Struthio camelus: one gene and its partners. The protein of the gene in region 1 purifies or fractionates together with the protein of each later gene. This does not show direct contact. Links are inferred from orthologs where the notes say so. Each region holds a gene or a part of one and is shown in the gene's direction. Other genes may lie near its edges. The genes, in order: KIFAP3, KIF3A, KIF3C and KIF3B.

Region 1 (7,409 bases):
TGGGGTCTAGGGAGGGTGAGGGGGCTGGGTGAGGGGTTGTGGGGTGAGGGGGCTGCGTGGGTGGTTGTGGGGTCTAGGGAGGGTGAGGGGGCTGGGTGAGGGGTTGTGGGGTCTAGGGAGGGTGAGGGGGCTGGGTGAGGGGTTGGGGGGTGAGGGGGCTGGGTGAGGGGTTGTGGGGTCTAGGGAGGGTGAGGGGGCTGGGTGAGGGGTTGGGGGGTGAGGGGGCTGGGTGAGGGGTTGTGGGGTCTAGGGAGGGTGAGGGGGCTGGGTGAGGGGTTGGGGGGTGAGGGGGCTGGAGTGGCAGCAAGCAGAGGAGTGATGGTTGTTTGAGGTGAGCTGGTTTGAAGGAGGTGTTAGAGCATGGCAGGCTGGGGTGGGGAAAATGGGATGGTTTGGGAGTTGGGGTGGGAAAACTGAGGAGAGGGAGGGTGAGTGCTGGGAGAAGGGAGCTGGGATATGAGCCTGTGTAGAAGCAGATTGAAAGGAAAGGATAGGATGGTAAGGTGGGGGATTGGAGAGGTGTGTGTACAGGGTGTGATAAGAAGTGAGAGGGTAGGTTGTGCTTAGAGGAGTAGAGCAGGGTATGATGGGGGGGTTAAAAGTGGTCAGGTGCCAGAGAAGAGTGGCAGGAGTAAGGAATAGCTAGGGCTGGATTGTGGTTGTGGATGGGGAGGGTGGTTAGATGTGGGCAGCAAGGATAAGAAAGGGGAGTAGGTAGAAAGATGGTGCTGAGGGGGTATGGAAACAAAGTGGGTAATCAGGGTTTGATGTGATGAATGAACGGTGCCTTTCTCTGTCTACTTGGCAGTGAAGCCAGTCAACCTACACAATAGTGTGTGTGCAGGCGACCATTGGGTCTCCATCCTTTGTTTCAGAGCAAAACTGTTAGCAATCCCAAAAGATGTCAGGCCATCCAGGCCTCTGCTAAGACTTGATATGTGAACAGTGTCACTTTTTCCCATCATGTGGGTGATTTTACCCATCTCATCTTGAATGTAGTGGAGTTACTGGTCCTTCTCTTTCTCCTTGTTTTACACATTATCCAGTAGTATTTGCAGAACTTGCTGCTTCGGTGTTTTGGTTCCTCCCCCCCCCCCCCCCCCCATCCCACGTATCCTGCATATTAAAGCCCTTCTTCAGAAACAATCAAAAAACTCTCGATAATGTTTGTTGGACGTTAGTTCTGTCACGTAAATATGATAGCAGGTGAAAATCAAATGGACACCTGTAATTAAAGAAATAGTTGTCATTTCAGAGCGGTACCTGTTTTTGGCCTTACGTGTTCTGTTTGTGGCATCTTATGTGATCTTGGAGGAATCCTTTTTTATTTTGTAGTCTCCACTGCAACAAGCCTCCTTTTCTGTCCTGGAGGGAGCGCAAACTGAGAAACTGCTGATGCTGTGCTGATATTTAACATGACTAAGCTTATGTGTAAGACTGGTGCTCCTCTGATCCCTATTTCCCTTTGTCATCCTCCACGAGCAGTCCCCCTCCCACTACATCAGACTTGCTAGGGTTGTTACTGGATTTTCAGTCTTACCACATGCACAATTTGTGCCACTTGTTCTTAGTATAGTTTGCTTTGGCTGTTTCCCCCTAAAATAATTAGTTAATAAAGGGCATTCACACACCAGGTTTGGTTGTGTGAGAGCTCAGCTGATGCAGCTTTTGTCTGTAGAAAAGGCCTTGCCCTTTTAAATCTTTAATAGTGCAAAATTCTTCTCAGCAGAGCAGGCAGTGAAGTGAGAGGCCAGACTCTGTGAGAGCTGCTCAGTGCGTTGCTGCTTCTACCAGTTATAAGGATGTCTATATTTTCAAAGGAAAACATTGTTCCTTTTATTCCTATATTCATATAGGAATAAATATTATTCCTGTTATTCATATTGATGAAGTAAGTCTTCAAAAACGCAAGATGGATAGTATTCAATACAGTAAATGTTGCTTGTTTACAGGGGAGAGGGAATGGCACTTGCTTTGTGTAAAGAAAGAATTTCTTTTCTTTGTGACACTGGTAATTTGAATGTAGTATCCTCCAAATGGAGATAATGGCTGAATGCATTGTACGGTGCGTTTCAGTGTAGGTCTTCAAGCAGTTCACAAGGTTACATTCTTCAGAGGAGGAACTTGAATGTGGATTTATTAGTGAATCCCTCAGCCCGGATGTAGCTCAGATAGGGAGGGCGGATGTTGGTTAGGTTCTGTGAGAGGACAGAAAATCTCTGCAGCTGAAGGTTTTTCAACTATCCCATCTGTTTCTCTTAAGGAAAAAAACACAGGAAATGCGAAAACTGTTTAAGCAGTCTTAGCCTGAGGTTCTGCTGGTAGCTAAGCTGATCAGTGGTATACTGCTGCCAAAAGGAGGAGGTCTCACTCCTTCCTCCTTATCCCTGCTTGTCGACAGGAAGTGTTATTCCCTTTCTATAGATGCATTAATTCAGTAATGCATCAAAAAGTTCCCTCTGCCCGAAATATGAAGTGCTTTCTGCTGAACTGCTGAAAGTAGCTGTGAAAGGGTTTGACAAGCACTGATGCTGATACGAAGTGACTGGCAGAAGCAGGGAAAACATAGGACGATCAAATCCTTTTGGAATTGATGAGCTGTTAGTTCAGCTTAGTGCTTGTTAAAAATGTACCCAAATCTTTCAGGCCCGTTCTTCCTCCCCTCTCCCCCTTCCTTTCCTGCATATTTATAAATATTTTCAAGCTGTAACTTAACAGGGGTTTGACTTCCAGGAAGAACATTCATGGTTAGGCTCTTCTGGTAGTTGTAAATATGGGAGAAATGGATTTGGGGAAGAGGGGAGAAAGATGATTTCTTTTGAAGTGGATTCCCGATAAGCTTTCTGCTGTGCTAGGCCAGACCTTGTGAAGCTTTTGTATGAAAACAAATAACGGTCTGAAATGAAGAATCTGTTTCAAAGTACTGTTAAAAGAAAAAAGAAGTATCTTCAAAAAAAAAACCTAAGTGATAAATGGGGTTCTGCTCCAATCTCACTAAGGAGGACACTTGCTTTTTAGCAGTGGGCAAGCAATATTTGTTTACTCTGTAGCTTTTTTAAGTCTTTGTGAGGCTGGTAGTTGGACTAGACTCTTAATTTCTTGCAGCATACCATTCTGTGGTTCGTGGGGGGTTTGGGGCAGCAGTGAGTATCTCAAGAAAAAGCTGATTTTTGAAGCTGCGTCTCTGCCTACCAGAAATCAGCCACCATAGTAGCTGGGTGGACAGAGGCATGTATTCCAATAGTGTTCTAAAGAGGGTGGTTACACTGAAGGCTGCATTTAAATTTACTAGCATTTCCAGCTCTGTGAGGCTGACCTAGGAAGTTTCCCCTGATCTAATTGAGTCCGTGCCACAGCTAGACTTATGTGCCACTTAAGTGAGCTGCCATCTCACTTATGCTGATGCAACTACTTGGGAAGCCATGAAGCTACCTGTAAATCTGGTTATTGAAGTGATCTGCTTGAAACAAACAAAAAATAGCTCTAGAGAGTTACTTTTAACCTGCAGTGTTTTAGCAGCCTGGTTTATGGGATGGCTGTGCAAACGCTATTGGCAGTACTAAGTGGGGAAGGAGCAAGTGTCAGCTTTACCACCAAAGACAGAATTGTGCAACTGTGGATGTGGTTCCACCATCACTTTAAAGTAACACAGGAATGAGGTATAGCCTCATGGCTTTCTTGTCCCTGCCTGTGCAGTCTTGACACGGCGCTTGTGCTGGTGCAAGGGTTTGCATGGCAGGCTGGGTCGAGGGGCTGTTGTAGCTCACTGTGCCGCCATGGAGTTGCTGGCACAGAGGAGGAGAGAGCAGAAGAGGCCCTTTTGGCAGTGAGGAACCCAGAGTGCTTTCCTAGAGAATGCTTTTCCCAAAATATCTGTAGGTATAATAAAGCAGATAGATATGCTTGATCTATCTCTCTTGGTGTCAGCTGTTGATCTGGAAATTCCCCAAGCCCAGTAACAAGCTATTAGATGTGTTCCTTCCTGAGATAACAGAGGTTCAGGCTATGGATGAAGAACAGTAGTGAAAAGGTTTGTGCTTGAGGAGAGAATAGTGAATTTGAATTCAAATGCTTTGTAATTCATTCTTAGTAGATTTTTAACATCTAAGATTTAGCTAAGCCTACCAACAGACTCTTTGGGGAAAGCTTCCCATTTGTGCATGGCAGTACTTCTACCACTAGAATTGTGCCACTATCAGAAGATTCTGCAGCATTGGTGCTGTAACATGGAATCAACTGGGAAATTCACTTCCCTTGTGAAATGCATCTTTTTCCTGATCATAGTTCCTCAAGGGAGCTGGAAGACGTGGAACCCAAGATATATCCTCCTCCTCCTCCTCCTTTATTTTGCTTCTGTGACTAAGACCTGACCAATGGCTTGGGTGTTTTTGTGCATGCTAGAGGCAATGCTCAAGGATTGAGCTTCTCTGCAGCTGTCTGAAATGAAGGACTGTAACACCATACTGTGGCAGAAGGCTCAAGCCTGGGTTTGTGATCTGAAAAGAAGAGGATACAGGTTGCTGCTATTGATCTGTATTCTGACATGTTTTTTCAGCTTTTAATTTAATCAGTAATTTATTTGATTTTTGTCTTTTTTTTTCTTTTTTCTTTCTGGCAGGAAGGTAAAAGGAGGCAACATAGATGTACATCCGTCTGAGAAAGCCCTCATTGTCCACTATGAAGTGGAAGCAACAATTCTTGGGGAGATGGGAGACCCCATGCTGGGGGAACGTAAGGAATGTCAGAAAATGTAAGGTTGTAGCAAGTTTGGATAGCTTTTTCTGTTTTTAACAGAGTCATAAATTTTATAACTCAAAGCGTGAACAGCCTGTAAGGAATAATAGGTTCTAATCTTTATAAAACTTAGTGCTAGATTAATGGAAGAATTAGAAGCCAGGGAGTAACATGTGCCTAGGACAGTTAACACCTGAAACGCATGCTGTAAACTGATTTTTCATCTGTGTACTTTAAGATGTTTTGTAAAGAAAAGCAATTACTCCCATTTTACGTGCTGGGAACTTGAGGTTCAGAGACATGAAGTGGTTGGTTCCTGCTCAGGTGGTGGTGAACATCAGAGCAAGTAATGCTACTGAACAGCAAGTAATGCTTCTGACAGCCTTGTGCTGTAGCTTTCAGCCTGCTTACCTCCTGTTGTTTCAATCTGTCACCCATGCTAGTGATTTCACTACAGCATTCCATTTTAGATTTGCTTGGCATTTTTCTTTTAAGAACACTGAAGCATTCCCCACTGTGAAAGTCCAGAAAGCTATTATAAACTGAATTTCTGAACTACAAGCTAAAAGTTTGGACTTCTTTTTTTTTTCCTTGCTCGCTCTCTAGTGATTTTTTTTTTTTTTAATTTGAGCTGCCTGTGTGCGTGTAGGAAGAGTAAGAGGGGAAGAGGAAGAGAACCCTTAAATTGTCTCAAATTTTTGGATGCATCAGAAACTTTCCTCTGGTTTTGGATGAACTGGCATAACTTGCATCAGCAACGTGGTGGAGTTCCTTTTTGCTCTATCCTGACATTAATGGCCACAGAGATTTTTTTTTGTTTTCTCTCCTTGTTGCATGTGGCTTCTTTACTGCAGCGCTCAGAATTATGGGAGACTCCTGACATTGCATCTGCAGGCACTACAAAAGAAATTTCCTTGTGCAGTTAATTTCCTCAGCTGTTTCTCATTTGGAGGTTTTTTTGGGTGCTGTGCTCCTTTGCAATCCTTAGCACTTTTTTGGGAACATGTCACAATACGTTATTGGCTGCTATATCTGTGATGGTTATAAGGGATCTGTTCATATAGCCAAATTTAGCGTTGTTGACTGTCGGCTGAAAAAGAATTCCACCCTGTCAAATCTGTTTGATGGTTACTTGCCTTTTGGAGTTGTAGAGAGTCAACACTTTGACGTTATCTTTCCAAATCATAGCACAGGCTTTGGAAATAACCGGTTCATTTTTATCTTAACAAATGCATGACTGCATAAACTTAAATTGAAGGTTGAAAGTAGAAAAATCTAGCAATTGAGATGAAATCTCTCTGATTATGTTTCAGCATTCGTCTGAAGAGTCTCAATGCAAATACAGACATTGCTTCCCTGGCTCGGAAGGTAGTTGAAGAATGCAAACTCATTCACCCCTCTAGACTTGCAGAGGTAGAACAGCTGTTATACTATCTACAAAATCGCAGAGATGCTTCAGCAGGGAAAGGTAAATAATACAGGAACGAAGTAGCCTGGGGATTGGGGTGCTTCAGTGTTACCAGCAAGCACAGTCTGAGGTTTCTTTTAGTTGAGGTCCTACCTTGCTTGACATACGCCTTCTCCAGAGACGTGACAACGGGGAAGGTATATGGCTAAACTGCCCTTGGAAAAAACTTCCAATATTGGGGAACGAGGGGTAGAGTTATCATTTTAACAATCAAAGTATAGTTTTTGGTTAGTCAGACTTAGTACTGATGCTTCTTGTTGGCTGCCCAGTGTTTCAGCAGGATCTTGAAGGCAGAGATTCCGCTGTTTGGTGTAGCCTCTTTGTGTTACATCTGCTCTTGCAGTGATATCAAAAGACAGTAGTGTTAGGATCTTCCTGGAAGAACCTCAGTTGTCACTTGCTGCAAGGGGAGATATTGTTAGGCTGAATTCAAGCTCTCTGTAAAGCTGGAGCCAGGAGTTTCTGCTAAGCTTTGGTACAGTGGTAAAAACAGCTTGAGCGGATACGTTTGTCTACGTCATAACTTCCTGATGAACAAATTGGTGAGAACAATAATGTCTTGGTCTGATGCCAAGGGATCTTAATGGTGCTATGTGTGTTTTAAGTTCATCTTAAATATTTCGCTCAATGCTTAAATTTTTATCAATGGACCTGCGTTACCTTGTGGATAGCAAGGTTTCCTGCAGTCATGAAATACTAAGCTCTATTCTCAGGCTGGATAAATTCTCTCAACTGAGAGAAGTTTAAAACAGAGATTCTTGTTATTGCTCTGGGTGTTTTACCCTTTTTTAATCCTGTGTATATGTGTCTTAGTATATCACAGGACGGATTTGATTTTGCTTGAACGCTGTAGCAAAGCAGTTAAGGTATCTCACTGTACAAGTGAGTATGTTTTATTCTTGCACTAAGAATTGTTGCGGTCTGCCTCCCCAGCTAAGTGGGCTATAACTGATCATTTGGACTGAGGTGTCAAAGGCATCTGAGGGTTTATTTTGCTCCCTATGTGCTGTTAGCTTCAGAAACAGACTCCTTAGCTGTGTTAGTCTAAGGGGTCAGTATGTTAGTTTAAGGGGTCAGCTGGATGCAAGAGGGCTTTGACCTTGGTCTCTACCAGAACGTGTAATGTGACAATACTGGGTATGCTTTTATCTCTGAACATGCGTATCTTCAACTGTAGCCATGTCTTTTTCATTGTAGAAAAGAAAGA
Region 2 (7,525 bases), on another chromosome or scaffold:
ATTAATTTTAAGTGCTGTAATTAACATTTCAGCTGTCTGGAGGCTTGGAATGAAGAAAGTTGTTGGCTGTGTGTACACAGCGAAGGAAAGACCAAGCTTCCGAGCAGTTTTAAACACTTGTCCGTGTTGTGCAGTCAGTCAGGCTCTAACTGTGCTGAGGACCGCCTAGGCACTGGAGGACTGGTCTGAGGTGCGCCCTGCCCTCCCCTTGCACAGTGTGACCGAACCACCAAACCGAGCTGTTATTCCCTAATAACAGCCCATGCTCATTACTTCCCCCTCCAGAAAAGATCGAAGCCTCTGCTGCAGCATGCGTTGCGTCCAGACAGCCTCGGTGGGGGGAGAAACTGGCATTAGGAGCAGATTTAGATTTGCTCTTTTAAGTTTGTTTTTTGTTTGCTTGTTTTTTACAGCCTTTGAAGTCAGGTTTATGACACCCCCCCCACCCCCGGCATAATGCAAAATATATTCAATTTTTTTATTTCTTATATCTTATTTGAAGATGCATTCAGGAGAGAGGAAAGACTTTAATCTTGCTGCCGTTACAATGCATAGATGTCCGTGGCATGCATTTGAACATTAATGTAGGAGTAGCTGAAAGGGCTGAGCACCTGCACAGAACAGCTAACATTTACCACTAGTTTGCTTAATGTTAGTTTTCACATTATGCATTTTGCTATTTTGCAAATAAAAATACCTTATAAAAATAGCATTTCTACACTACTGCGAAAAAGGGACAAGGCTTTCAGGGCAGTTTTGTGCCTTGTTCCATGGATCAGAAGCACCTTACAGAAGCAACTGAGCATCACCGTTTCCACTGTACATGGAAGAACCTTAAGTGTTGTAGCTTCCTACAGTAAGTGACTGACTCACTTGAACAGCCAGGAATGGGACTGGTTTCTGTTAGCCCTCAGTAAATTCTCTCTCCTGCCATTTGAACGCATGGAAAGATGGAGAGAAATACAAAGCAGTAGAGCACAATTAAGTATGATGTGACATTTTTATTTATGGCTAAAACCCTTGATTCAGAGCCTGCTCTTACCTGCCTGCTCCACCAGAGTTCCCAAAACTGGCTGAGTCAAAACAAAATGCAAAGCATCTCTAAATCATGGTTTAAACGGAGCATAAGATGTAAAATGAGACAAAGACAGACCCTCCCCGCTTCTGTTCCTTAAGCTCAGTCTACGTAAGATGACTTTTGCATTCAGGTGGACTAGATGGCAGGACTAGCACTGCATCCCGCACAGTCCCTTAGGTGCTTCCAAAGAGGATGAATACCTTCAGGAAGAGATCCTGGAAAACTGGCACTTTCCAAATCCTAGCCTCTCTGGCTATGGCGTTTTCCAGGAAGAGGGCAAGTCTCAGGCTCTCTGAAGGTCCAGGGCACTTCATAGCAACTCTGTGAGCCAGTTTCCCAGGTGGGAGCCGCTGTCAAAACCAAGAAAAGAATTATTAGGCAATGCTAATAACACTAGCGGAGCCCCCTGAGCTAGCTCCGATTTCCTGGCGCGGTGCCTCCCCGAGGCTGAGCGCGACACCCAGAACAGCCATGCTGCTGCTCGTCGGGTTGCAGAGGAGGAAAGCGCAGTTCTGTCATCCGCTTCCCCGGGCGGGGCGGGCGGGGGGGGGGGGGGAGAAAACATGTCAGAGGGCCGAACAGCAGCGCACTCCTTCCTCCGGGGCTGCGCGGAGCCACCCCCGCCGCGGCAGCCGCTGTCTCTCAGCTCACTTCGCTTCCGACCTTCCGCTGCCCCTTTGCAGAGCCGTTGCCCGTCCTTACCCGGGCATGGGGGGGGCCTGGCCCGACCCGGTCCGGTCTGGCCTGGCCCGGCTCGGTTCGGTTCGGCCCGATCGGCGGCTGCGCGCGGCGGGGCCCGCCCCGACGGCCGCTTCCCCCAGTGGTGGCGGAGGAGGGCGGCGTGGCGGCGCTGCCCGAGCCGTGCCGTGCTGTGCCGTGCCATGCCGTGCCGAGCCGTGCCGGGCCGAAACCCGCTGAGCCGGGCCAAAACCTGCTGAGCCGGGCCGGGCCGAAACCCACCGAGCCGTGCCAAGCCGAGCCGAGCTGTGCTGTGCCGTGCCGTGCCGAGCCTCGCCTCACTGCGCCCTGCCGTGCCGAGCTGTGCCCCACCGTGCTGTGCCGAGTCAAGCCGAGCCGAGCCCCGCTGAGCCCCACCGCCGGCCGGGGCAGGAGCTGCCTCCGGGCCTGCCCGCGGGACGCGACAAGCCTCAGCGCCCGAGCTCGGTGCCCTCGTAGGATTAAGTCGCCCCAGGGAAAAAAAAAAAAAGGCCCAAGCGGTGGAAAAGTCCGTTTCCGCTTTTCAGCCCCATCGGGGGCATAGGGCGTTGCGGCCTCCCACCGCCTAACACCGGCGCGCCTGCCCTGGGAAAGGCCGGCGTTGCCCGCTCTCGCTTCATATCGTAAGGAATGGTTTTACGGTATTCACAGCTTTCCGGGGCTAAGCTGTTTGGTACTTCCAGCATAAACGTTGTCTCGCCCCTGGGGGTTCATCTCACCCATGAACGGTTCAGAGATCCTCTGTCGGCCTGTTAGGCCAAGTGGTGCGCGCCCCGGGATCGGGCTGAAGGTCTCACACAGTGAAAACTGTGGTATCCTTCAGCATGTTCCCCAAATCCACCCCTTCCCTAGCGTCAATTATTGCCTTGGCAAAAAAAAAAAAAAAAAAAAACACACTGCCTCTTCCTGGTATGGCCCTAGCCAAAATACCATTTCGCTCCACCCACGCAGCACCCCCATACCTGCCAGGAGCGATTCCAGCTCCTAAAAGGGCGTCTTTGTTCCTGCTTTATAGAGCACATCCACCGCCACCCCCCTCCTACCTCCAGTTCTGCCAGAGTCTTTGCATTTTGTGCCATTTTTGTTTCCTATCAGGCCTCTCCATCTTTCGTGACTGCTCTCCTCAGCTCTCCCCTTCGTTGCTAGGATTTTTTCAGGCAGCATTTTCTACAGGGAGCTGGTTCCCGTGTTTTATGTTAAATCTTTTCTTATTCCTAGAGCTTAGTCTGCCCACACATAACTCCCTGTTCTCTTGTCAGGCCTTTGGGTTATACATTTTTGGTGCTAAATGACTCTCTTAGTCTAGGAATCTTTGCATACAGTAAAGCACTGAGTAACATTGTAGCAACATATAAATAGTAAAGCAGCTATATTTTGCTTAATACCTTGTCCTGGAGCTTTCTGACTCACTTGTTGACACTTCAGCTGGGGATGAGGAAACGGCAGTCCTGTCACGACCGGCATGTTCCCAGCCCTGCGGTACAGGATGGTGTGTTCCTTGTGTCATATTAGGAGCCCTTCTAAAACCTCACATCAATCCTGTCCACATTCTTACTTCCGCCCATAGCCCACCAGCTAAAATACACTGCAATTAAACTGTTACAACCTTCAGTTTATTTCTGTACTTGATGCTTATTGCTGATGATCGGTTTGGCTTTGGGATGCCAGCTCTCTGCGTTTGGACTAGAGGCAGTGTGGAGAGGAGAGGGACGTGAGCGAAGCCCTGTGCCCTGTCACGAGAAGGATTTGGGGGTGCAGAAATAGCTAAGGGGTAGTAAGAAATACATTACAGAAAGGAGAAAAAGATATGAATTCACCCCCCCAAGCCCCATCAGCCCCCCAAGGGACCTGTCAGCCCCCCGAGCCCCGTCACCTGCCCCCAAGCCCCATCACCTCCCCCAGAGCCCTGTCAGCTCCCCAAGGGACCCGTTAGCTCCCCCCAAGGGCCCCGTCAGCTCCCCCAGAGCCCCGTCAGCCCCCCAAGGGCCCCATCACCTGCCCCAGAGCCCTGTCAGCCCCCCAAGGGACCTGTCACCTGCCCCAGAGACCCATCAGCCCCTCAAGGGCCCCGCCACCTCCCCCAGAGCCCCGTCAGCCCCCCAAGCCCCATCACCTCCCCCAGAGCCCCGTCAGCTCCCCAAGCCCCATCACCTCCCCCAGAGCCCCGTCAGCTCCCCAAGGGACCCGTTAGCTCCCCCCAAGCCCCGTCAGCCCCCCAAGGGCCCCGTCACCTCTCCCAGAGCCCTGTCAGCCCCCCAAGCGCCCCATCACCTGCCCCTGAGCCCCGTCAGCCCCCCAAGGGACCTGTCACCTGCCCCCGAGCCCCGTCAGCCCCCCAAGGGTCCCGTCAGCTCCCCCGAGCCCCGTCAGCCCCCCAAGGGTCCCGTCAGCTCCCCCGAGCCCTGTGAGTTCCCCCGAGCCCTGGGACTCAGGGGCGAGCGGAGAGGGTGGCGGGGGCCGCTCCCCCGCCGCCCCCGAGAAACGCCAACGCGCCGCAATTAGCGCCAGTGACTAATCACCCCGCGCCCCCCCCGCGGTGCCCATGGCGACGCGACGCGCCCCGCCGCGCCCCGCCCCGCCGCGGCAGCCCGGTCCCTCCCGCCTCCGCCATTGGCTGGGCCGCGGCACCAATGGCGGCGAGCGGGCAGAGCGGGCCCCTCCTTTGCCCGCCATCCATTGGCTGCGCGGCCTCCGCAGAGCGCGGGGATTGGCTGCGCCGCCGGGGCCGCTCGGGAAGGGCGCGGGCGCAGGCGCGTTGCCGTTATTGTCCGGTTGTGCCGCCCGGCGGGTGCCTCGCGCCCCGCGCCGCTGCCGCCATGCCGGTGAGCCCCGCCGCGGGGAGGGGGGGGGGGAGCGGGCCCGACCCGGCCTGGCGCCGCCCCGGCGGGCGATGGCGGCGGCCCCGGAGCAGGCCGCGAGGGCTGGGCTCGCCTCACCTCACGGAGGGCCCCACCGTCATCCCAGAGCGGGGTTTTTTTTGGGGGGGGGGGGCAGTCCCGTTTGGGGGGCTGTCGAGGCGGGGGGGGGGGAGCCTCTGTCCGGCTCTGGCGGCCGCTCCCGCCCCTCCGCCGCGGCGGCCTCGGGCGGCGTCTCAGGGCCGCGCCGGTGCGGCCAGGCAGAGCGGGCCCCGCGGGCGGAGCGGGCGGCTCACCGTGACTCACCCGCTGCTTCGGGAACCTCGCTGGCTCCGGTGTGGAGGAGAGCGAGGGGCTGCGGGGTCCCCCCGCGGCGGCTCTCCGCCTCTGCCAGCCCGGAAACGCTTGGCTGTAGTGGCTGGGGCCAAAGGAGAGGTGTTTTAATAGTGTCTTGGGCTTCGCCAGGTGAAGTGCGTTGTGTGTGTGTTTAATCAGGAGAAACATCTGACATCAGACTAATTCATGGTGTCTTGGAGCTGATGTTTATAGCTACTTTGTGAAAGAATTTCACGGGTGAATTTCTTTGTGGAAGAACTTGATATATCCATATCTATCTCTCTAGATCTATATATGTATATAGAGAGAGATATATAGGTTTTTTTTTTAATTCACTGTTTGAATTTCCCAAGTGGTTAAACTTAAAATTCAACAAACACCCTAAAGCTTATAAGTTAATTGAATTACTTTCAGCCAATACTTATTGGCATCTTCCATCTTCTGAGGTGAGAGAACATGAACAGTATTAATCTAGAAGAATGGCACAAATGCACCTACTTCTAGCAAACTGCTTGCGGGTTGTTGGTGAGCAGGAAGTTATTCCCTGAAGAAATTCATAAATGTTCTTGAATGTGAAATTATAAAGCCTTATGTGATACTGTTTCCATGTTAATGGACAGAAGAAGGTTACATTAACTAAATAACCAAGCATTGTTCTCTCTGATTTAATTATAAACCAGTTCTGTTTTAAGTCCCTAAATCCATGATTTTTTAGGTGATGCGTGCGTCTACTTAGGTTGACCTAACGCTGTGTGTGCTTGAACACACAGGTAAGTCAAATGCAGTGCTAGGTGTGACTTTGTGTGTGTATGTTTTTAATAACTGTAGATCAACAAGCCTGAGAAGCTGGACAAGCCAGAGAGCTGTGATAACGTGAAGGTTGTTGTCCGATGCCGGCCTCTGAACGAACGAGAGAAAGCTACAGGCTACAAGATGGCAGTCAACGTAGATGAAATGAGAGGAACTATAACTGTTCATAAAACAGACTCATCCAATGAGCCTCCCAAGACGTTTACGTTTGACACTGTTTTTGGACCAGAGAGTAAACAGCTAGATGTCTATAACTTAACCGCAAGACCTATTATTGACTCTGTCCTAGAAGGATACAATGGTAAGTCCTGTGTTGTTTTAAGATGAAAATCCTGCCTTGTATTCTTTCTGTTATTAGTGTTCCTGCTGATCTTATTGGGAATTTCCCCATGCGAAGGCTGTAGCTCTGTGTTGTTTCTGTTATGGCCTCAGTAACTTAAAATAGCTTGACTGCTGAAGGTACTTGCAGGTCTGCGCCCACAGAGGTTGTACATGCTGTAATTGTTAACAGTGGGAGATCAGTGATGAGCGAGACTCGGCCAAGGTCAACTTGCTGTGTTTTTTCATTTTGTGTCTTCTGTTTGGAAAAGATACAGGTTTTATGTTTATTTTCAGTTTTCTCGGGGGCACTTCACTATTAAAATCTCAGTAGCCAAGCAGTTGCTGTTGTCATGCAATAACTAGGTATGCATGCCAGACTCGTACGTATAATTGATGCACGTTTTTCTCTAAGCTTTGCAGTTTTAAACTAAGATGACTAGATAGATACACCTGCTCTACCCCACAAATGATCAGTTGTTTATCACCACTGGGAAGAGTGTGACCGCTTTGTGTGTGTGTTTCGGTTTTGTATGTAAATGTACTTTCTAAGGGAAAGCAGATGATAAGGAAGTAAAATACTGCTTTTCATAACAGTATGCTATAAGCAACAATAAGTTACAAAATGTTTAAAGGTTTGTGTAAGATACATAATCTGCCCTTGTACTAGCATGCCCAGGTTTCAGCTGATGTAAAATTCAGCTTCTCTGAACCATAAATGCCTGTGCTTCATGAGCTGTATTTAAACTTGACACTCAAAAGAGAAATCTGCTTAGTTTTCAGCAGTGTTAGGCCAAATTTAAGAAGCAGTGTGTTGCTGGAGTACTTGGGCCTGGAATCTCAGTAGATTTCCTTAATGTCTTCCTACGCAGGTTGACTTTCTAGTCTGAATTGTAGCTGCACTTGCAGGTTCAGAACTGGTCTGCATTATAGAAGCCTCACATTGTGTCCACTGTGGCTTAATGTACTAGAAATAGTTGGCTTTGCAGTTGGCATATAAGGATCCTCCTCTAATTGAGTGTGTTATTAATTGGGCTTGCCTTAATTATGTGGGTGTAAAACCTAAGTGTACTTGCCCTCTATTCTTCAGTCACTCTGTACAGTTTTAAGAGGAGCAGACTTTGCTTCTTTCAAATGTCTTGCAGGCTGGAAAAGCAGTGACTCAGCCGTCTTTGCTGTGGTTGTCCAGCATTTTTTTTCTCCTAGCCTTTGTACGGTATCTACTAGAGAAGCTGCAAAGCTTTTAGCCCTATAAAACTAGAGGTTTAAGTGGTATCAGGCAAAGCAGTGATGAAGAAAAACAGCAAAATCAGCAGCCGCTAAGCGTTTTATATATACTTATATATATATATATATATATATATATATATTTTTTTTTTTTTGTATTTCAGGCACTATTTTTGCATATGGG
Region 3 (7,685 bases), on another chromosome or scaffold:
AGCTCCCTCAGTGTCTCCTCATAGCAGAGATGTTCCCGTCCCTTTGTCATCTTAGTGGCCCTTTGCTGGAGTCGCTCCAGGAGCAACATGTCTCTCTTGTTTTGAGAGCCCAGCACTGGAACACAGTACTCCAGGTGAGGCCTCACCAGGGCTGAGTAGAGGGGCAGGATCATCTCCCTTAACCCCCGGCAACGCTCTTCCAGCTCGTCCTTCCTAAAGAGCCTATGTCCCTCCATGACAGCGCTGCCGTCGTGTGAGCTATCCCACCTCGATTCCACGATCACAGCGAGATTGTAGCCCCACCGCTGCACGCCGACCTCTGACTCCTCCTGTCCGTTCCCCGTGCTGTATGCACTGGTGCACAGGCCCTTCGGAGAGGCACCCCAGCCTGCTGCCTTCCTGGAAGGCGTGTAAGCGTTTGCCCCATAACACTGTCCATAGGCCCACCCTTATTTACCCACATTTGTCCGGCTCCACTTCAGCCCTGTTGGTGATTACGAGGTCCCTTCTCTTCACACTTTTGCAGACTCTTTGCTTGCTAACCCCGTTTGCCACCTCCTTACCTGACCCGTGGTCATCCTCTCTCCCTCCATCACACCAGCCTGGAGCTTTTCTTACCAGCTTGGCCAGCCTGTTGGCAAAGATACTTTCACCCCATCAGGTCAGGGGATCCCATCTCTTCCCAACAGTTATCGATCCTCAGAGGGGGTCCCGTGGTCACAGAAACCAAAACCCTGTTGCCAACACCAGCTGTGCAACCCGCTGTTGAGCCACAGGGTCTGTTCAGCCTCTCCTCAACATCCTGAATGTGAGCCTCCAGCAAGCAGCAAACCTGCCCAGATGTCCTAGGGATGGCCATGGTGTCCTAGGGTGGCCATGGCATCCCAGGGGTGGCCGCGATGTCCCAGAGATGGCCATAGTGTCCTGGGGTGGCCATGGGACATGGGGGCAAGGGAAGGGGATGAGCCTACGCCGGGAGAAAAGGGGAAGCAGCCGAGCAGCGCCCCGGGGCCGGCAGGAAATGGAAACCCTTGACCCCACTGTGGGGGCTGACGCAGGAGCAGCAGGCTGGACTCCAAGCATGGGAGGCCACCAGGGCGCACAGGCTTCATCTGCAGAACGGCATCTAGTCCCCGGGCGGCATCCCCGCCTGAGCCCGCCGCGCCGGCTGGTCCAGCGTCCCCCGCGGGGATGCTCGTCCCCGCCTCGGCTGTCCTGCTGACGCCCTGGGCCGTGGGCTGACCCAATGGGCGGCTGATCGGCCAAGGAGACCATGAAGGAGGTCCAAGGAGACCACGAAGGAGGAAGGGGGGGCAACATCCCCGCGGGCTTGGCGAGGCCCTCAGAAACTTGGGCGTCAGGGCGGTGAGTCAGCGCCGGCTCCCAGGACTCTCCCTGCTCTCCACCCCATGACTCAGGTGGCTGCAAGCCAGCACCCACGGGAGCTCAGCCGCCGGTGCGGGGAGCCCCCAGCTGGCCCTGCGGCGCCCGGGTGAGGGGCTCGGGGACGGCACGCCCTGGGGCCACGGCTGAGCGTGGGGCGGCCCAGCACAAACCCGCTTGGATGTGGCACGAGGCGGGTTCTGCTCTTCCTGGGACGTCCCTGAGGCCACCAGGGAGACCAGCCTCGGGTGGTGGCCTTGCCTCGTCCCCGCGGGACTGTGGGGAAGCAAGCAGGGGGTGGAAACCAGCCGGGCACACCTGGACGGGCCGCATCTGGTGAAGGATGAGGGGGCCTGGGGGTCCCTGAGGAGGAACCGTGCTTGGCTCCCTGGGGACCCCCAAGCAAAGCCCACCCGCAGCCAGGGCCTGGGACGCATCCAGCCCCGTGGGGCCCGGGTTTCTCCCCACCGGCCAGTTCGGACACCGCGCTTGGAGGGGCCTGGCCGTGCCAGCTCGATGCTCACCCCAAGGCTGATGGAGCCGTGCAGCCGGGTGGCCCAAGGTGTCAGGCGCCCTGGGGACGCCCCGAGGACCAGGACGGCCTGAGCCGCCTAGAGGGCAGGCGCCAGCCCAGGCGCCAGGGACGGCCATCTACAGCCTTGGGCACGGCCACGCGCTCCGGTCTGCTGCTGACACCTGCGGGCGAGGGAGCGTCCCTACATGTCACCCCATCCCTCCATGTCACCCTGTCCCTCCATGTTACCCTGCCCCAACTTGTCACCTCATCCCTACGTGTCACCCTGTCCCTCCATTTCACCCCATCCCTACATGTAGACCTGTCTGTACGTCACCCCTTAGCTCCATGTCACCCTGTTCTTCCATTTCATCCCATCCCTCCCTGTCACCCTGTCCCTCTATGTCACCCCATCCCTACGTGTAGCCCTGTCCCCTACAAGTCACCCCACAGCTCCATGTCACCCCACCCCTACCTGGCGCTCCGGCCCTACACGTCCCCCCAACCCTGGGCCCGTGGAGGACATGGGGCAGGGGCACCACCACTGGGGGGCTGCCAGGCGGAGGCCGATGACCCGGCCTGGGGCCCTTGGGGACAGCGGGCCAGCGCGGTGCAGGTGACAGGATGGGGCAAGGAGCTCCCCTGCCACCGGGCAGCCCCGTTAACGCCCGCGGGAAGAAGCGGCTCCCCAGCCCCGCGGGCCCCTTTCCGGGGTGCACGCACGGGGACGGCTCTTCTCCCGGCAGCGCCATGTCACCGGGGACGGGGACAGTCCCCCCCCGAAGGCTCCTCCGGGAGACGGAGCCCTTGGATGGCACCAAGCAGTCCTGACTATGCTAGTAAATACCCTAATTAATTAATTAAGGGATAATCTCTGGTGCAGGAACAGGCGGCTGCTGCCACTCGATGAGCCGCAGGAACGTTTAATCTCCCACCAAAGCCGCTTGCTGCATCTCCTGTGACCGGGCTGATTCCTGCCGGGATGGGCCCTGGGGTGCCCTGGGCACAGGGCAGCTACCTCGAGCCCCCCTGCCCCAGCCGGCTGTGGGGGCACCGTCCTTTCGTGCCCCCCAGGTCCTCGAGCACCTTGCAGGGAAGACCCCTGCGAATGCGGGGGCTGCACCCGGAGCCCCCCTGCCCCAGCAGCGCTTTCGGGGCACCTGCGGAGGGGAGCACAGCGAACCTCTGTGGGCATCCTGCAGGGAGAGGTGGTCAAGGGGGCTTCAGCCAGCGCAGAACTGCCCCAGCCCCTGCGCCTCCCGCAGCCTGAGTCCTGCATCCCCTCTCCCGCATCCCGCACCCTGCATTGTGCATCCTGCCTTGAGCATCCTCTGCCCTGCATCCTCCCGCATCATGCATTGCACATCCTGCACCCCACATCCAGGATCCTGATCCTGCATCCCATAGCCTGTATCCCTTAGCCCACATCTCACAGCCTGCATCCCCCAGGCTGCATCGTGAGTCTGCGTCCCGTATCCCGTATTCTGTATCCCACATCCTGCACCCTGCATCCCACATCCAGGATCCTGATCCTGCATCCCATAGCCTGTAGCCCACACCCTGCATCCCCTATGCTGCATCATGATCCTGCATCCCATATCCCGTATTCTCTATTCCACATCCTGTACCCTGCATCCTGCACCTCCCATCCCCATCCTGATCCTGCATCCCATATCCTGTATCCCTTAGCCCATATCTCACACTCTGCATTGCCCAGGCTGCATCGTGATCTTGCATCCCATATCCCATATTCCGTATCCCAAGTCCTGTACCCTGCACCCTGCATCCCATATCCAGTATCCTGATCCTGCATCCCATAGTGTATAGCCCACACCCTGCATCCCCTATGCCGCATCGTGATCTTGCATCCCATATCCCGTATTCTGTATCCCACACCCTGTACCCTGCACCTTGCATCCTGCACCCCACATCCGGTATCCTGATCCTGCATCCCATAGCCCATATCCCACATCTTACGCCCTGCATCCCCAATGCTGCACCGTGATCTTGCATCCCATATCCCATATTCCGTATCCTACATCCTGTACCCTGCATCCCACACCCTGCACCCCCCATCCCCATCCTGATCCTGCATCCCGTATCCCACATTCTCTATCCCACATCCTGCACTCCGCACCTCCCATCCCCATCCTGACCATGCATCCTCTATCCTGTATCCCCTCTCTCACACGTCACACCGTGCATCCCCCAGGCTGCATCGTGGTCTTGCATTCCATATCCCGTATTCCGTATCCTACATCCTGTACCCTGCATCCCACACCCTGCACCCCCCCATCGCCATCCTGATCCTGCATCCCGTATCCCATATCTCACATCCTGCATACCCCACCCCATCCCAGTCCTACACCCCTATCCCATATCCCGCACCTTAAATCCTGCATCCCCACACCCCGATCCTGCATCCCACAGCCCATAGCCCTCGTCGCTGCCGCTCGCATCCTGCATCCCGTAGCCCGCACCCCACATCCCGCTTCTCACGTCCTGCATCCTCCATGCCGCATCCCATCCTGCATCCTGCATCCTGCATCCTGCATCCTGCCAGAGCAGCAACAAAGGCAGGACTACAGCTCCCGGCGTGCCTGGCTGACTCCGGCCGGCCGGGGAGGGGGGGGCGGAGGGCCGGGGCTGGCAGCCAAGCCGAGCCCGGGTGGGGAGTGTGCGTGTGCGTGTGCGTGTGTGTATCTGTGTGCATCGCTTCCCAGCAAATCAGCCGCGGCGCGCCGCCCCCCGCCAGGCAGCATCATTCCCCAGCAGCCCTTCCCCTCGCCTCTGTTTTCCTCCCTCATTCTCGCACGCAGGCAGGGCGCAGCGGCTGCGCCGCGATGAATGGGTGTCCGGAGGGGCAGGCGAGGCGTCCCCGGCCCGCCGCCCATGCCCACCGGCCCGCGCGCCCACCGGTCCCTGGCTACTAGCGGGAGCGAAGGAGAGGCTGGCGACCCGGAGCATCCCCTGCCCGCGACTCCGTCGGCCCCCCGGCTCCGTTATCCGCGGCCGCGGCGCAGCCCGGGCCCCCACGCCCAGCTGGCGGCGATGATCCGGCGTGGGGGGGCCACCCGCCACCGCGCGATGCTGCCGGGGCAGCGCGCCTGATCGCGTCCATTGTGCAGCGCGCCGGGGGAAAAGGCCGGGGGTAAATAACTGCAGCGGCCGCCGTCGCCAGCGGGAGGAAAACAAAACCCTGGACTCTGATCCATGCCTGTTTCCCGGGGAGTGGCCGGGGCAATTGTCTGTCTCCTAACGCGCGGGACCGTCGGGAAGCTGCAGCATCATGATGGCCAACAAACCCCGGAGCAGCGAGGCGCTGAAGGTGGTGGCCCGCTGCCGCCCCATGAACAGGAAGGAGGAGGCAGCAGGGTATGAGAGGATCTTGGAGATGGACGTGAAACTGGGTCAAGTGACCATCCGCAACCCCAGGGCCTCGCCGGGGGAGCTGCCCAAAACGTTCACCTTCGACGCTGTCTACGACGCCAGCTCCAAACAGGCGGACCTGTACGACGAAACGGTCCGGCCGCTCATAGACTCTGTGCTGCAGGGGTTCAACGGGACCATCTTTGCCTACGGCCAGACAGGGACTGGTAAGACGTACACTATGCAAGGGGCCTGGGCCGAGCCGGAAAAGAGGGGCATCATTCCCATTTCCTTCGAGCACATCTTCACCCACATCTCCCGGTCACAGAACCAGCAGTACCTTGTGAGGGCCTCATACTTGGAGATCTACCAGGAGGAGATCAGAGACCTCCTAGCGAAGGACCAGAGCAAGAAGCTGGAGTTGAAGGAGAACCCCGAAACGGGGGTTTACATCAAGGACCTCTCCTCCTTCGTGACGAAAAACGTCAAAGAGATCGAGCACGTCATGAACCTGGGGAGCCAGACCCGGTCAGTGGGCAGCACCAACATGAACGAGTACAGCTCCCGCTCCCACGCCATCTTCCTCATCACCATCGAGTGCAGTGAGACGGGGCTGGATGGTGAGGAGCACATCCGGGTGGGCAAGCTCAACCTGGTGGACCTTGCTGGCAGCGAGCGCCAGAGCAAAATGGGTGCCCACGGAGAGCGCCCCAAGGAAGCGTCCAAGATTAACCTCTCCCTCTCTGCCCTGGGCAATGTCATCTCAGCTCTAGTCGATGGCAAAAGCACACACATCCCCTACAGAGACTCCAAGCTGACCCGTCTGCTGCAGGACTCCCTGGGGGGCAACGCCAAGACAATCATGGTGGCCACCTTGGGCCCAGCCTCTCACAGCTACGATGAGAGCCTCTCTACCCTCAGGTTTGCCAACAGGGCCAAGAACATCAAGAACAAGCCCCGGGTGAATGAGGACCCCAAGGACACGTTGCTACGGGAGTTTCAGGAAGAGATTGTCCGGCTGAAAGCCCAGCTGGAGAAACGAGGCATGCTGGGGAAGAAGAGGCGAAGGAGCAGCCGGAGGAAGAAAGCAATGGATGGAGAAAGTGCCATGGAGAACGAAGGGGAGGATGACAATGAGGACGGCCTGGAGAAGAACATGGAGAATTACTTGAAGGAGCAAAAGGAGAGGCTGGAAGAGGAGAAGGCAGCTATTCAGGATGACCACAGCCTGGTGAGCGAGGAGAAGCAGAAGCTGCTGGAGGAAAAGGAGAAGATGATAGAGGACCTGCGGAAGGAGCAGGAGGCCACGGAGCTACTGGCCACCAAGTACAAGGTAGGTGTTGCCCCGCACCGGGTGCTTGTGAGTGATGTGGGGATGGGACCTGCGTTGCCTCCGGACCCGAGCGGGCTGCCTGAACCCGCGCTCCAGCAGGAGGTTCAAGCAGGGCGCCCGAGCGGAGCCGCGCGCCCCTGCGGAGCGGTGCCTGGGGCTGCTCTCAGGCGCCGACCCGCGTGGGCCGCTGCTGGGGTGCAGGGTGGGAGGAGCCATTTGGCAGAGGGTGAGGCCCTCACGGGCGGCATGAGTTTGGCGTGCTCAGCTCTTGCCCCGCTCTGCGTGACGAAGCAGCTTGCCGGGGGCGGGGGGGGGGGAAGTGCTGGGATGATGCTGCAGATCGACGCTGGCTGCGGTGACCCCCGGGGCACCGCCTGGCCGTTCCTGCCCGTCCCGGGGCTCCGGCCCAGCCGGCAGGGCGCTGCCTGGCACGCGCAGGGCTGCGAGCCCACCGCAGGGTCCGGCAGCTCTGCAGGGACCCTCCGGTTCCTTCCTCCCCATCCTCAATCCTTCCTGGTGCCCCGAGTCTCCTACCCGCAGCGGTCTGGGCGGGTGGGAGCGCGCAAGCGGCATCCTCCGGGCCGGGCTGCGAGGGGGCCGTGCCGTGGGGCTGGAGCAGGGGCTGCAGGGGGGCCACGGCCGTGGGGCTGGAGCAGGGGCTGCAGGGGGGCCATGCCATGGTCCCGGGGCTGGAGCAGGGGCTGCAGGGGGGCTGTGCTGCGGCCGTGGGGCTGGAGCAGGGGGGCGCTGTGGCCATGGGGCTGGAGCAGGGGCTGCAGGGGGGCCGTGGGGCTGGAGCAGGGGCTGCAGGGGGGCTGTGCTGCAGCCGTGGGGCTGGAGCAGGGGCTGCAGGGGGGCCGTGGGGCTGGGGCAGGGGCTGCAGGGGGGCCATGCCATGGTCCCGGGGCTGGAGCAGGGGCTGCAGGGGGGCTGTGCTGCGGCCGTGGGGCTGGAGCAGGGGGGGGCGCTGTGGCCATGGGGCTGGAGCAGGGGCTGCAGGGGGGCCGTGGGGCTGGGGCAGGGTCTGCAGTGGGGGCCGTGCCACAGCCATAGGGCTGGAGCAGGGGCCGCAGGGGGGCCGTGGGG
Region 4 (7,017 bases), on another chromosome or scaffold:
CAGGATATCGTTCCTTGAGCTACAGGGTCTAATTGCACTGAATAATAAGCCACGGCTTGATATTTTCCTGCTGTAACTTGCGTTAAAACTCCACTGGCCACTTCTTATCTTTTGTGAACAAATAAGGTAAAAGGTTTACAGTAGTCTGGCAGGGCTAGGGCTGGAGCCAATGCCACTGCCTGTTTTAATAAGAAAAAAGAGTTGTCTCATTCCTTAGTCCATTCCACCATCCCAGATGGCTTCAGTCAGTGATTTCACCAACCTTACAAACCCTAGCGTCCACTGGCAATTGAATCCCACGGTTCCCAAAAAAAGCTCTGATCTGTGTGGTTTTTTTTTTTTTGGCTGTGGTTTAGGTAAGTTATTAATAATTTTTATCCTGTTGTTAATAAATTGTTGTTCTCCTAGCCTAATTCGATTTCCTAGATAAACAACCTCTTTACACAGTTGGAGTTTGGCAAGAGATGCTCGGTGCCCTTTGCTAGCTAATTTCTTTAATAAAAGTATTGTGTCTTTCATACAGGATTCACAATTGCGGCTCACTAATAATAAAAGATCATCTATGTATTATACCAGCACAGACTGACGAGGTAACCTTATATCCTGCAGATCAGTTTTAAGAATACGCAAAAAATGTTTGGAGACCCAGTGAATCCCTGGGGAGGTCTGGTCCAAGTTAGCTGATGGCCTTGCCAAGTAAAGGCAAATAGAAATTGTGAGTCAGCATGAACTGGAATACTAAAAAAGGCAGCAGAGAGATCGACAACTGTAAAGCATCTGGCATCATGAGGTATTTCAGTACTTATTTGCATAGGATCTGGAACTACTGGATGGGGTGCAAATACAATTGGATTAATTGCCCATAAATCTTGCACAAATCAATAAATAGGCCTTCCATCGGGACCAAGCTTAGCTTGGTTTATAATTGAGTATGAGCGTATTACACGGTGAGCTACGTTCTACAAGAATTCCTTGCTTAAGGAATTTGTCAATATAGGCTTTATTCCTTCTTTCATTTTTGGCAATGGATATTGATTTAAAGCCAGGAAATTATTAGTTTTGACTTCAATTTGTACTGGTTCAGCAGATTTTAGGAGCTCTACCTCAGTAGGGGAGGTAGTCCACAACTGTGAGGGCACCTCATTTAGACTTGGGGGAATCTTGGGTTCTGCTCCTTCAAAGATGGCCATCATCCCGTCTGGCAATTGTAAAGTTAGCCCTCTCTCTCAACATTTAATGATGGCTTGGGTTTTACACAGTAGGTCTCTCCCCAACAGATTAATTGGACTTCCTCTCATTATTAGAAATTCATGCCAGAAGGAGTGGTTACTAATCTCTATTTCAAGAGGCTTGGTAACAGGTAGGATCTAGGGTCTTCCTTCAATTCCTTGGATACTTGCCGTCTTTTTGGATGACGGGCTGATAGGCCAATTCAACGTTTAGTAGGTGGCTCCGGTATCCACCAGTAGCCCCTGGTGGGGTTTATAGTGGACTGTTCCCGTAAGGAAGCGAAGTACCCTTCGATCTTACAAGACATTTTCTTTTCCAGTGTCTGGGTTGATAGCAGTAGTTGCAGCAATCTCATGACGTGGGACCCAGGTCTACTCTCGGACCCAGGGCTCCTCGCTCCCTGGATATGGGAAATCCCTGTCCTCTGCCTTGCCCCTGCCTCCTCTTGTTCTTATTATACCACGTGGGGCTTGGAGAGCTGCTGTAAGTAAGCTAGCTTCTTCGCCTTTTTGTTGTTGCTTTTTTTTTTTTCTTCTTCCTTTCATCTCTCATTAAACACCAAAGTAGTTATAGAGATTCCCTTCTGTGAGGGTTTCCCTTGCCGTTCAGGAGCATGTAGTGAAGTATTTTTGGATGTCTATAGCGGCTTAGTTCACGAACCGGTTAGCCATAAGTGGTTCATTGGAACTAGTCTGTCATGCCCCTTGTCGTAATAGGGCCTGTTGAAGACGGGCCGCATATTCAGAGGGGTGTTTGTCAGGTTTCTGACGTGTTTATTGAACTGTCGTCCGATTCACCCCTGTTTGACCAGGTTCTCTTAGGGCCCAGAGTAATTCCTCCTGAGCTGTCCTACATATTTGGCATTGCTGATCATCATTCATGTCCCACCCAGGATCTGTCTGCAGCCACGACTGCCTGCCTCCCCCTGCCTGGTGGCCTAATTCTGCATCTTTTTCAAGAATTACTGCCCTTTCATCTGTTTTAAACAGCTCTTGTAAAAGTATCAGCCCATCTTCCCAGTTGGGGTGGTATCCTGCAATAATTCTTGATATCACTCAGGCAGCCTTCTCAGGGTCATCATGCAATCTCAGCATCTGCTGCTGCCATAACACCAGATCCTGGCATGGCCAAGGCTGGTGAACATACACGGATATGAGCTGGGATGGGGGAACTCCTGCTGCATTGGGCTGCCTATCTGGATTCGGCATTACATGCTATATCATGAGAGCTTGAACAGGAATAGAGGGAGGTGCAGGTAAAGCAGGCAAAGTGACAGAGACAGATGACGTTAAATCAGTAGAGTAAGAGGGAGGCACCTGTGAAAAATTTTTAGAGCTGGTCATTGCTGCCAGACCTCTGGGACAATCGGGTGCCAAATTGTCCCATACATTCCAACGATCCGTTTGACCTGGTGGACAGTCTTCCAAATGGAGCCACATAAATGTTAATCTTGCCTGATCGAAGGAACCCTCGGGTGGCTGTACCGCAGTGGGCATCCCCTCCTGGGTATATGCTGGCCGTTCCTCCTTACCACACGCTTCCTGGATAAGATCTTGGTACCATCTATATGTTTCCAATTATTTCAAATGTCTGCCAAAGGAGTTCCTGGCTTGATCCCACCCTGTGTGTTCCCCGTGATGTCGACTCTTTCCGATGCCAGTGGATGAGAAAACCCCAAACAAGTGCGTCCAGGGTGAACTTGCCCAGATGCCAGTGCAGGCATCTTCACTTGAAGGTTTCCCATCTCAGGCAGCCTATGATCCCACTTGGGTTGCCATGAATCTTAGAAACATCCTATGTTGATAGGACCACCTAAGTTACTTCTTTTCACAGGCATGGCAATCGTGGACAAATCATGCAGAACAAGCACAAGGATTACGGAGAGTTTATTTTGCTGGGCAAAATGGTCTCTCCCGCAGGAGAGACCCCTCATCCCGATACAGCCTCCAGTTTATACACAGCTGGTCATCATGCATATTCAATTTTTTTCTTACAAAGTTCCTTCCCAACAGGGGCAAACAAATAGATTTCAAACCCACGACGGGTTATCTCCTGCAAGGAAGCTATTAAACGTTCAGCCGTCTAAGGTCACCTCTTCTCTCTTTGCCACATAGGCCTAACAAACAAGGGCACTATAAAGGTGAGCGAACGTGGGGAATCGGCACAAAATGGCGATTTTCCCAAGCAAGATGGAGGTGACCAAAGTCTCCACGAGCTTCATCAGTGTTTTTCTCAGTGTAACGGTCTTGAACGACGCCATCGGGGCTGCCTTGATCACAAAGCGAGATAAGACTTTCCAAACCTTACTGCGAATATTGTGCATTAAGAGAAAACATAAAGAAAGTGTGGTATGTTTTTAACCGTAAAGCACAATGGACCTCGGCTTTGTGTTCAGGAGTCTTGGACTGAAATCCCCCCCCCCCCCCCCACCGCCAAGGTTTGCCTGGAGCAGCCTGCGCTGCGTCTCGTTCGGCGGCGACGGCCCGTCCGGCCCCGTCTGGGAGGGGGGTGCGTTAAGAACCCCCCCTCCGCCGCCCCAACCCCCGGCCCGGTCCGGTCCGGCTTCCCGCTCCGGCCCGGCCCGCTCCATCCGGGCACCGGGGTGCGGGGAATCGGGGGGGGGGGGGGGGCACGTTGCTAGGGAAGCGGCGGCGCCCAGCCCCGCCCGGTCGCTAAGGAAGTGTGCCGGTTGCCAGGGCGGCGGTTGCTAAGGAAGTGATGGCTTGGGGGCGGGCGCGCGCGTTGCCAAGGAAGTGCGCGGGGGGGGCGGCGGGCCGAGCCCGCCCCGCCGTATCCGGTGCGGCGGGAGCGAGGCGGCCGGGCGGGGGCTCCATGGTGACGGCGCAGGTGAGTCCCGGCCCCCTGCGCGGGGCGCCGCCGGCCTCGCTGCGCCCGGGGCCGGGGGGGAGGCGCGGGGCGGCGCGGGCCCTTGCCCACGCGTGTGCCGCGGGGGGGGGGGGGCGGCCCCGTTACGCGGGCCTGTGCGGCGGGGCACACGCGCGTGCCCGCCGGCGAGGGCGCGTGTCCCCGCGTGCACGCGCGTGTGCCGGGGGCGCGTGTGTCGGCCCGGGGGGGGCACGTCTGTCCCCGCGTGCACGCGCGTGTGCCAGCCCCGGGGGGCACGCGTGGCCCCGTGCGCACACGCGTGTGCCGGCCCATGGGATTGTGTTTTTCCCCGTTGGCGCACGCGTGTGCTGGCCCACGGCGGGCGCGGGTGTCCCTGGGGCTGCGCGAGGGCGGCGGCTGCGTGGCCGGTGCGAGGCCCCGGGCGTGCCGAGGGAGGTGCCGGTTCCCTCGTGCTCGCGCCCAGCCGTAAGCCACGCGTGGCCGGCGAAGGGCAGCAGCGTGCGAGGGGCTGGCGGCTGTGCCGGGGGCCCTTCCCGGCTCGGCCGGCCTCGACACCCGCTGCCGTCGCCCCGCGCGCTGCCCTCCACCCGAGCCGCGGGTGCTGCTCCCCGCTTGGGCAGGCGAGGCGGCCGCGGTGCCGACCGAAGAGCTGGCGCTTCGCGCGGTTGCTGCGCGGGGCGTCAGAGCTGTGAGCCGACCGGCGAAGCGCAGCTGAACTTGCACCAGAACTGAAACGACAACCTCGAACGCGCATGGGGTTGGGGTTTATGTAACTCTATGGCCTCTCTGTGGGAGGGTGGCATCCGAGAAGCAGCGATGCTGAAACAAACCAAGATGATTACAGGCAACAAATTAAATAAGGGCTTACAGTGTCAGGGTAGCAGAAGATGCGGTGTGGGCAGAGAGATGGCAAACGTCTGCCTAGCCCAGGCAATTGCACTGGGAGTACCCTGTTCAGTCCTTGGTGATGTGCTAGGGAGAAACTGGAGGGAGTTTGGAAGAGAACAACAACAAAGAAGAGGTGATGGGCTTATGAATAAAGGGAAAAAGACAAAGCAATTAAGCAAAGACATAACAAGCCCACAATATCTGAAGGATTTAAAGAGCAAGAAAGCAATGGAATTGTTTAAGTAGTACCCGGAGATATACACAAAAATAGGAGGTAAGAATTTAGGCGACCTACCAAGAAAATCTTCCTGAGCAGATCTTCAAGCTCAAAGCAGGAAGCGGAGCGGCCTCGGGACTGCAGCCCGTGTGAGGTTGAACGTGAGGCTGAGTAAGTAGCGCTAGAGGCCTCCTGAGAGCCGGGTGCTCCGCAGGCACCGGCCGGCTGAGCTAACCAGCTCTAACGTCTGAAACTTTCTGATGATGAGCTTAAACTAACTTGAAGTCAAATTGTGGCACGGCTTATTTTTCCAGGTATGGTCTCGTGTTGCATGAAAAGAAAAGAAAATGCTTTGATTTCCGCCTGTCTTCCCCTTTTGGTCAACTGGAATACGTTTTAAAGTGTGTTCATCTCATCCTTGAAATCTAGCAGATTAAGATGCTTAGGGAACTGATCCAGATTGCTTTAGACTTAATAATTTCACAAAAGAAAATCCTTGCCTAAAGCGTAAGAACAAATGGTACTGTGACCTGTAGTACGCTTAATTTCCAAGCTATTCTAGGCAGTCCTTTTCCACCTGGTCCATGCAGTTCAATCTTTTTGGCCAATATAAATGCTACAAACTAAATTGTTTCTTACCCAAATATATGATTTATAAAGTAAGTCTGAGAAGAAACAGTTTGTTATACTTTCAGTAAACTGTTTGTGGCAGTAGCTAAATACAGTGGAGATGTTTCATGATAGGTTGCTATGAAAATAGCCCAAATTGGGGTGAAATGAGTTTTTTTGTGACTTTGAAAAGAGACTGGCAAGTGAAATGGGGAAAAATGGCAAAAGGTTATCAAGCTCACATTAATGCGATATACCCAAAGGAACGGGGAATACACGTACATCGTAATTCTTGTTAAATACATACCTCTGCCAGTGCTGGCAGAGAGGACACGTGCTGGATATTTCTCTTTTAACTTCCAGGTGACTGTGAATAATCTTGAAAAAAAGCAGACTACTGGGAGTTTAAGTTAACTGTGTTTGTTTAATTCTAGCCAGCATCTCTTAAAAAAGCTGTACTCCTTATCTAAATAATATTTTGGATATTAACCTTACTATAATAAATAAAGGCTCCTCTTTTCAGAACTCATGCCTAATTTGAGTATTTGCCAATGCGAACGTTCACCGTAATAGTGCAGGCAAGTGAAGCCTCGTTTGTTATGTAAGCTTATCTGAAAAAAACCTGGCCCTTGTGTATTTGGACCAGTACGATTATCTCAGGTAAATATGGAATAAGTATATATTTGTATGTATTTATAATTACTCACGATGAGTAGAGGGAGAGTTGCTTTTTGTACTTCTGCAAGTCTTGTCCCTGTTTCAAATATTTTCTTTCTCCGTTCATATTCTAAAATACGTATTCCTTGTGGGTCAGACAATAAGGTCCTCTTTATCTGGAGCTGCCAGTCAGGAGGGAAATGTATTTCTGTTTCCTATTCAGTGGCAATCCAAGATTCCTACAGTAGACTGAATTCATTATGCGACTGGTAAAGCACTTTCTGTTCTCCAATGTGGTCACCTCAATGCACCTTCCGCACCTTCCTCTTTAACTACCAAATGCTTCCGTGGTTATAACAAGGGAGCGAGTAGTTTTCGCTCGTGACATCGAGGAAGTTCTGAAGATTATCCTGAGGTTTCCAAACACATTATTAAATATGTTTAGTCGTTGCCTCGACGTTAAACTTTTTAGTGAAGACTGATGGTAGAGATTTTGGGGTAGAAATGTGCTGGTTTCTTTCTCAGTCCTCTAGCTGTGCTCCTGAAGTTCTCTGCCACTTCATTTGAGA

What was found.
Region 2: the proteins of KIFAP3 (region 1) and KIF3A purify together in Homo sapiens (co-immunoprecipitation; 9 studies listed by BioGRID and IntAct, counting the BioPlex papers as one, with this or other methods). This does not show direct contact. The link is inferred for Struthio camelus from reciprocal best matches to the Homo sapiens genes KIFAP3 and KIF3A.
Region 3: the proteins of KIFAP3 (region 1) and KIF3C purify together in Homo sapiens (co-immunoprecipitation; 3 studies listed by BioGRID and IntAct, counting the BioPlex papers as one, with this or other methods). This does not show direct contact. The link is inferred for Struthio camelus from reciprocal best matches to the Homo sapiens genes KIFAP3 and KIF3C.
Region 4: the proteins of KIFAP3 (region 1) and KIF3B purify together in Homo sapiens (co-immunoprecipitation; 7 studies listed by BioGRID and IntAct, counting the BioPlex papers as one, with this or other methods). This does not show direct contact. The link is inferred for Struthio camelus from reciprocal best matches to the Homo sapiens genes KIFAP3 and KIF3B.

Annotation. Positions count from the first base shown.
Region 1 is NC_090949.1:8,281,540-8,288,948, reverse strand, and holds the start of KIFAP3 (kinesin-associated protein 3), read left to right. Parts: upstream 1-4,406; 5' UTR 4,407-4,442; coding exon 4,443-4,516; intron 4,517-4,618; coding exon 4,619-4,750; intron 4,751-6,047; coding exon 6,048-6,202; intron 6,203-7,399; coding exon 7,400-7,409. UniProt on the Homo sapiens protein: Involved in tethering the chromosomes to the spindle pole and in chromosome movement. Binds to the tail domain of the KIF3A/KIF3B heterodimer to form a heterotrimeric KIF3 complex and may regulate the membrane binding of this complex.
Region 2 is NC_090954.1:2,345,070-2,352,594, forward strand, and holds the start of KIF3A (kinesin-like protein KIF3A), read left to right. Parts: upstream 1-4,524; 5' UTR 4,525-4,611; coding exon 4,612-4,617; intron 4,618-5,814; coding exon 5,815-6,097; intron 6,098-7,505; coding exon 7,506-7,525. Other genes in the region: CCNI2 (cyclin-I2), read right to left, coding at 1,279-1,428, 3,206-3,259. UniProt on the Homo sapiens protein: Microtubule-based anterograde translocator for membranous organelles. Plus end-directed microtubule sliding activity in vitro. Plays a role in primary cilia formation. Plays a role in centriole cohesion and subdistal appendage organization and function.
Region 3 is NC_090944.1:1,704,709-1,712,393, reverse strand, and holds the start of KIF3C (kinesin-like protein KIF3C), read left to right. Parts: upstream 1-4,677; 5' UTR 4,678-5,186; coding exon 5,187-6,599; intron 6,600-7,685.
Region 4 is NC_090959.1:18,682,354-18,689,370, forward strand, and holds the start of KIF3B (kinesin-like protein KIF3B), read left to right. Parts: upstream 1-4,003; 5' UTR 4,004-4,077; intron 4,078-7,017. UniProt on the Homo sapiens protein: Microtubule-based molecular motor that transport intracellular cargos, such as vesicles, organelles and protein complexes. Uses ATP hydrolysis to generate force to bind and move along the microtubule. Plays a role in cilia formation.